Callithrix jacchus: one gene and its partner. The protein of the gene in region 1 interacts with the protein of each later gene in a pairwise test. Links are inferred from orthologs where the notes say so. Each region holds a gene or a part of one and is shown in the gene's direction. Other genes may lie near its edges.

The links.
Region 2: the proteins of COIL (region 1) and PDLIM5 interact in binary tests that used the Homo sapiens proteins (3 or more experiments, as listed by UniProt). The two-hybrid records come from large-scale screens. The link is inferred for Callithrix jacchus from reciprocal best matches to the Homo sapiens genes COIL and PDLIM5.

Annotation. Positions count from the first base shown.
Region 1 is NC_133506.1:109,380,912-109,385,297, forward strand, and holds the start of COIL (coilin), read left to right. Parts: upstream 1-1,527; 5' UTR 1,528-1,551; coding exon 1,552-1,796; intron 1,797-4,386. UniProt on the Homo sapiens protein: Component of nuclear coiled bodies, also known as Cajal bodies or CBs, which are involved in the modification and assembly of nucleoplasmic snRNPs.
Region 2 is NC_133504.1:102,891,254-102,894,902, reverse strand, and holds the end of PDLIM5 (PDZ and LIM domain protein 5), read left to right. Parts: intron 1-1,773; coding exon 1,774-1,889; intron 1,890-3,338; coding exon 3,339-3,428; 3' UTR 3,429-3,471; downstream 3,472-3,649. UniProt on the Homo sapiens protein: May play an important role in the heart development by scaffolding PKC to the Z-disk region. May play a role in the regulation of cardiomyocyte expansion. Isoforms lacking the LIM domains may negatively modulate the scaffolding activity of isoform 1.

The DNA of each region.
Region 1 (4,386 bases):
AAAATTAGTTGGGTGTGGTGGCCCACTCATGTGGTCCCAGCTACTAGGGAGGCTCAGATGGGAAGTCACTTGAACCCAGGAGGCAGAGATCGCACCCCTGCACCCCAGCCTGGGTGACAATGAGACTGTTAAAAAAGTAAAAGAAAAACAAAACACCTTGCTTTCACTTTAAAAAATTTGTTTTCAATTCATCTATGGAACCCCTGGTACCTACAACTTAACTGTCTAGTGACTTTGGGGAAGTTAATTCCTTTTTTTTTTTGACAGAATCTTGCTCTGTTGCCCAGGTTGGAGTGCAGTAGTGCGATCTTGGCTCACTGCAACCTCTACCTCCTGGGTTCAAGGGATTCTACTGCCACGGTCTCCTGAGTAGCCAGAATTATAGGCTCATGCTACCACACACAGCTAATTTTTATATTTTTAGTAGAGTTGGGATTTCACCATTTTGGCCAGGCTGGTCTCGAACTCCTGGTCTCAAGTGATCTGCCCACCTTGGCCTCCCAAAGTGCTGGGATTACAGGTGTGAGCCACCGCTCCTGGCCTCTAGTGTTATTTCTTAAACTCTCTGAACCTTGGTTTTAAAAAATCCTCTAAATGAGGATAATAGTTCATAATTCCTAACTTTCGTCATGAAAATTAAGAGTTAATATATATTATGTGGGAGAAATGTAAATTCTAGTTCGAAAAATAAAAGAAATAATGTAAAACTTCTGATTTACTTACTGGTGATAAATACAAGGACATTTTTGTTTAGTAGTGGATATTAAAAGGCTAAGGTATTCATATTCCACTGGAAACATTTGAAAGAGTGATTAGCAGTTTTATTTCAAAATGTCAACACTGAGAACACACTAGGATTTACATCTTTTTTTTTTTTTTTTTTTTTTTTGAGACGGAGTTTCGCTCTTGTTACCCAGGCTGGAGTGCAATGGCATGATCTCGGCTCACCACAAACTCCGCCTCCTGGGTTCAAGCGGTTCTCCTGCCTCAGCTTCCCAAGTAGCTGGGACTACAGGCACGTGCCACCATTCCCAGCTAATATCTGTATTTTTAGTAGAGACGGGGTTTCACCATGTTGACCAGGATGGTCTCTATCTCTGGACCTCGTGAACCACCCGCCTCGGCTTCCCAAAGTGCTGGGATTGTAGGTGTGAGCCACCGCGCCCGGCCTAGGATTTACATCTTTTTCAACTAATTATGATGAAAACTTGTCAGTGAAATGTGTTACGACTGTTTTATACAAATCTTTTACGTCGATGAGTAAGTATCTTAGAAGTTATTTATCCAGAGACTCGCCTTAATTAGGAGACCCTACAGAGCGCCCGGAAGAAATGTAATAAAGGCATTTCACTTATTCCCTCGCACAGCCCTGTAGTGAAAATAATTGAATGAAATCAACCACATGCTCCGAGTTCTCGCCCTAACGTAGCCTGTAGTAGCCAGGTTCCACCACTAGGTAGCACACGCCAAAAGCTCCGAGGGGCGGGCCGCCCGAGTACGCCACTCGGTAGCCCTGTGGTATCTCTCGGCTTCCGTTGAGCACCGAGCAAGATGGCAGCCTCCGAGACGGTTAGGCTACGGCTTCAATTTGATTACCCACCGCCAGCTACCCCGCACTGTACAGCCTTCTGGCTTCTGGTCGACTTGAACAGATGCCGAGTCGTCACAGATCTCATTAGTCTCATCCGCCAGCGCTTCGGCTTCAGTTCTGGTGCCCTCCTAGGCCTCTACCTGGAGGGGGGGCTCCTGCCCCCTGCCGAGAGCGCGCGCCTCGTGAGAGACAACGACTGCCTCAGGTGGGCGGTGCGGGGAACGGGACGGCCGGGTGGGCGGCGGGCGGGGGACGCGCCTGCGCACGCCTGGGCCTGAGACCGCTAGGCCTGGATGGGGAGGGGGTGAGGGATAGGAAGGAGGACGAGGGATGGGGGACGGGAGGTGGGACTGTAAAAATGGACGTTCGCGAACCCCGGAGATCCTGATTGGTGTAGTCAACTTTGGGATTCAGGAACCTGTATTTTATTATTTATTTTATTTTATTTAATTTTTGAGACGGAGTTTCTCGTTGCCCAGGCTGAAGTGCAGTGGCGCAATCTCGGCTCACCGCAATCTCCACCTCTAGCGAGTCTTCTGCCTCAGCCTCCCGGGATTACAAGCATGCGCCACCACGCCCGGTTAATTTTGTATTTTTAGTAGAGATGGGGTTTCTCTATGTTGGTCAGGCTGTTCTCGAACTCCCGACCTCAGGTGATCCGCCCGCCTCGGCCTCCCAAAGTGCTGGGATTACAGGCATGAGCCACTGAGGCCAGCCCTTTTTGATACTGACTCCCAGTCTGTCACCCAGGCTGGAGTGCAGTGCTGCTATCTCGGCTCACTGCAACCTTCACCTCCTGGGTTCAATGGATTTTCCTATCTCAGCCTCCCGAGTAGCTGGCATTAAAGGTGGGTGCCACCATGCCCAGCAAATTTTTTTTTTTTTTTTTTTTTTGCATTTTTAGTAGAGATGGATTTCACCATGTTGACCAGGCTGGTCTTGAACTATTGACCTCAAGTGATCCTCCTGCCTCAGCCTCCTAAAGTGTTGGGATTACAGGGGTGAGCCACTGCGTCTGGCTGGAATCTGCATTTTAACGAGCATCCTTCCCGAGTTGCTTCTGATGACAGGAGGACCAAACTCGGAAAAACCCTGATGTCTAAGGGCAGGCCCAGGGTTTCTTTCAGCCTTGATTTAGCACATCGGCCCCTTAGCAAGCGAGGAAGGCACTGTTTTCCATGCCCATGGTGCAGGTGTGCGGAAGACCCAGCCTTACCCTTGGCGGCGTTCAGGGTCAGGTACAGGAGACCCAAGCTGACAGAGGGGAATCATCACATTTTCTTCATAACATGCTCCTGTCCAACTTTAGTTCTCATGTGCCTGGGTTCACTCAAATAGGTGTCTGAGTCCTTTCGGGCTGTGAATTGGGAAACACAAAATACTCTGAAATATGCTTTTGGAAATTAAAATGATAATAAGTTGAGGATCCAGGAGCAATTGTAGTATGAATTGCCAAAATGTGGTTGAGTTGCCATGGTAAGATGATGAGATCCTATGATTCCAGTTTGGATTCATATCTTGGACCCATTTATTCAGGCTTTTTCTTTTTTAAATAAAGAGACTGGGTTTCCCATGCCCAGGCTGGAGTGCAGTGGTGCAATCATAGCTTGCTGTAGCCTCCACCTCCTGGGCTCAGGCAATCCTCCTGCCTCAGCCTCCTGAGTAGTTTGGACTTCAGGCGATGTAACCAGGCATGGATAACTTTTGTGTTTTTTGTAGAGACAGAGTTTCGCCTTATTGCACAGGCTGGTTGAACTTGCGGTCAAGCTGTCCTCTTGCCTCAGCCTCCCAAAGTACTAGGATTACAGGCGTGGGCCACTACGCCAGCCTTCCCTCCACCCACCCCCTTTAAGCTTCAGCTACAGTGAATCAATTCCAGAGTTGTGAACCAGGCTATTTTCTCTTGCTGCCCTTTGTTACTGAATATTCCTTACCCTCGAGCATGTCAGATTCCATAAGATTTCTTCAGAACGTCAGGGAATTTAATTTGGAACAATAACTGCTTCTTCAAATCAAAATGTTATGATTTAATAATGTTCAACTGTTTCAAATGATGATTTGAAATAATCTAAATTTCAGAGGTTTTTTTTTTTTTCCTTTTTACTGACTGTGAAATAGGTGTCTATTCTCTCTGCAGTTCAAGGACTATTTAAATACTCAATTGTAAGTATTGTGTCCTATCTTATTAAGTGTATTTTTTGCACTGTCCCTTGCCTAATTAGTTATTAATCTGTGCCAGCTAACTATAATTATACTTTAATGAATCATCTGGGCATTACATTCTTCATAGTGAAGTTAACAATGACAAAAAAATGAAAACTCTTATAAGTAATAATTACAACATGATGACAGGCAGATTCTTCGTAAATGCTTCAAATGCACAGCTGCATGTGGTAAAAAGACCTCTGCAGTGGCTTCAGTGGCAAATGGGCAGTCTGTAGAAAAAGACGAATCTGGAAAATTCATCTTTGTTTTTGTTGTTTCAGGCCCACAATCATTGTCTTTCCCTGAAAAGTTCACTTTTCTTCAGAGCTACAGAAGAAAACATAGTCTCTGTTCTCAAAGTACCTAATATTGTTGGACTGGGACCAAAATAATGAGTTTCATGCTTCTGTATATTACCTTCTGTGACACCGGCAATTAGACTGACCAGTTAGACCAAGTTATACTGCTAAGTGCAGAAGTCGGTTGAGAAAGCAGACATCAGCATGGAACAAAATGGTTAGGGAATTGAGCAGTACCCTGAAGAATGGGTGGGAAATGTTGGTTGATCAAAGCACAGCTGTAGAGACAAA
Region 2 (3,649 bases), on another chromosome or scaffold:
AGACTGCATGGATCTATGCTGAGCAAATGGTGCGAAGGAATACTAAAGATTGACGGTTGCTAAGAAAGGTGAATTGCATTGCAAATTATAGCCTGCTTTCCTCTTCAGCTGAGGTTGGACTGACAATGTCAAAGGCCAAAGGGTGAACCATGAGTCAACACAGTAGTGAGAGGAGCTGCTTAAAAGAAAATTAGGGCAACCAGCCTGGCCAACACGGTGAAACCCTGTCTCTACTAAAAATACAAAAATAATTAGCTAGGCATGGTGATGGGCTCCTCTCCTGTAGTCTCAGCTACTCGTGAGGGTGAGGCAGGAGAATCGCTTGAACCCGGGAGGCGGAGGTTGCTGTAAGCCAAGATCGCACTACTACTCTTCAGTCTGGGCAACAGAGCAAGACTCTGTCTAAAAAAAAAAAAAAAGAAAGAAAGAAAGAAAAGAAAGAAAATTAGGGCCAGATACAGTGACTCAAAGCCTTTAATCCCAGCTCTTCAGGAGGCTAAGGCAGGATTATCCCTTGAGGCTGTGAGTTCAAAACCAGCACAGGCAGCCTACCAATACCCTGTCTCTACATGAAAAAAATTTTTTAATTAGCTGGGCATGGTGATATGTGTCTGTAGGCTCAGCTACTCAGGAGATGGTGACAGGAGGATGGCTTGAGCCCAGGAGGTGGAAGATGCAGTGAATTATTATCACACCACTGCACTCCAGCCTGGGTGACAGAGTGAGACTCTCTAATGAAAAAAAAAAGAAAAAGGAAAGAAAATTCTAATTTGGTAAAACTAGAAAGCATCTTCTCAAAACTGCTTTCTTCAGAAGGAAATCCTGTTAGTATTCTTGTAACTGTAGTCTATGTCAAGTAAATGGTCTTTTCTGGGCAAGGGTTTTCAACATGAAGTTACAAAATTGAAAGGAAAATACAACAAAATAAATTGTGGCTAATATTGTTGTGATACAGTCTAGCTAGAAATTCAGTCATAGCACTTATTCATACAAGTTTCCTGCAACGTTTCTTTTTCTTTCTTGCCCAAGTCAGATACACTATGAAATTTGCCAATATCAGACATTTGTTCTTGGTCCCTGTCCATTAGTCTTACTGTTGCTAGTTATTAGTATTCCTTTGTATTTCTTTAGAACAGTTATTTCTACTGATAACTGGTCACAAAACAGTTCTTCTTTTTTTCCCCCTCCTGAGACAGAGTGTCATCCCGTCTCCCAGGCTGGAATGAAGTGGTGCAATCTTGGCTCGCTTCAGCCTCCCTCTGCTGGGTTCAAGCAATTCTTCTGCCTCAGTCTCCTCAGTAGCTGAGACTATAGGCATGTGCCACCATGCCCAGTTAATTTTTGTGTTTTTAGTAGAGACAGGGTTTCACCATATTTGCCTGGAAGCTCTTGATCTCTTTACCTCATGATCCACCTGCCTCAGCCTCCCAAAGTGCTGGGATTACAGGCGTGAGTCACTGCACCTGGCCAGAACAGTTCTTCTTTATACTTATTTAGGCAATTAAGTAGTTGGAGAGAAGCGAGAAGTATTACATGGAAAATTATAATCAAGAATGTTAGGTTGCATAAATAATATTTACCAAGGGAATCCTGAAACATGCTGAACATATCTTTCAAGCCAAACATTATGCCATCTCCTGAAATTTTTCAAATTCCTAATATCTTTATCTTTAGCATCTCATTTAATCCTGATTTTGTTGCTGCCTTCTAGGAACGATCATTCTACAACTTCATTGTGTTTAAATTATGTCTCTCTGCCCTGCCTCAATACAGATTATTATGCCCTCTTTGGTACTATATGCCATGGATGTGAATTTCCCATAGAAGCTGGTGACATGTTCCTGGAAGCTCTGGGCTACACCTGGCATGACACTTGCTTTGTATGCTCAGTAAGTAAAGTCTTACTTCCTACTTAAAGGGGAATAGTACGGCCAATTCTAGCTTTAGTATTTAATGGAAATATCAGCTCTCATATCTTTTAGTCCATTGAACCTAAAAAATATATATTTTTACTTTTTTGTAAATTTTAAAAGTTGTTTATTACATTTTTTGGCATTTTTTAAATTATTTGGCAAACAGTGAGATCCTTAGTCCTTAGAGAAAATATAATTTTAATATATTTTTGTCTATAAGAAGAAGCTATCTATTTCTTAAAACAGTAAGTTTCCTTTACTTAAAAAAAGTAGTTTTTGGAAATGTTAGGTACTTCTTAAAATACAAAGGAACAATTATCAAAATCTATTTTTGAATTAACACTAGGAATAAAGTATATGTTGATTCATTTCTTTTCTCAGCAGTAGCTTCTGGATATTCTTTTCTTTTTGAGACTATAGTCTAATAAACATGTAACAAAGTATTTGCCTATTCATTTGATATTTTAATATTTTTGGTTTTATGTTTAATGATTAGGATAGATTCAGAGATTAAAATATATAGTTTTTAAATGTAGGAAGTAAATATCCACTAAACATGCCTCTGTTCAGGTGTTTGATTTTTGAAAATTTGATTTAACATAGCTATAGTTTTCAATACCCATTGTACAAAGGGAACAAAAGTAATATTAATTGAAGCCTAATGATTTCCCCAAACATTACCATTGAACTCATGTTTACCTCATCCATCTCTTAGACTTCATAAAGTCTATAAAAAGCAAAAGTTTTAGCAGATTTACCTTTTCTTTAATAAAGCTCTTCATGAGAATTTTAATTAACAAAGGCAGCAGGAAGAACAGGAAGCTGTACATGTAGATAGTCAGCTGACTGTGTAATCCTGCAGCAGCCAGATGTTGACCTGGGTCTTTATGTAAGAAACTAACTAAAAAGAGGTCTCAGCTTGAACACAAGGCACCCCTTAAAAAAAAGTTCTCAGGTATTCTGTGTATTTGTGGGCAAGCTAATGTTGGGCTTGGGAAGGTTTGGTAAAGCAAATGAGTCATGTTTTGGTTCCCTACAACACTAAGCAAAATTAAGACATTGTTTAGAATTCAGGGAGATACAATATATTTAATGGGCCCTCTTTCTATATTAAATTTTTAGTTAGGAATAAATCTTCCCTCTGGATAAAGAAAAGTGATGCTCAGTGCTTTCTATAAAGTAGAATACATTCTAGGAAAAAGCCATATTTCATTGCTTTTGAAAGATTATATCTAATTGTCCTAGTAATTGTGAAATATTAGGGAGTCTAACATAACCAACTAAAGTGTTTTGTCGTATTATCCATTGGGGGAAAAATCACTTTCTCCTTCTCCAGCATACTTGATACAATCCTCTTAATATCCTCTTAAATAATGCATAATATCCTTTTAAATAATATCCTCTTAAATAATGCTTCTTTTTCAGGTGTGTTGTGAAAGTTTGGAAGGTCAGACCTTTTTCTCCAAGAAGGACAAGCCACTGTGTAAGAAACATGCTCATTCTGTGAATTTTTGAAAGTCAACAGTTCAGGAGAAGAGAAGAAATTTGAAGAGAAAAATGAAAATTAAAATTACTAATTAATTTTTAGATTCAATATTTATTTGGAGTTTTGAAAAATCATAGTGGCCCTGAAGGAATAAATTCCAGCTTTAAAAACCAAGTCTGAGGAAATATTTGGCTTCATAAAGTAAAGAGACAGTTTGGCATTATTACTTTTTCCTGTATTTTATGCCCAT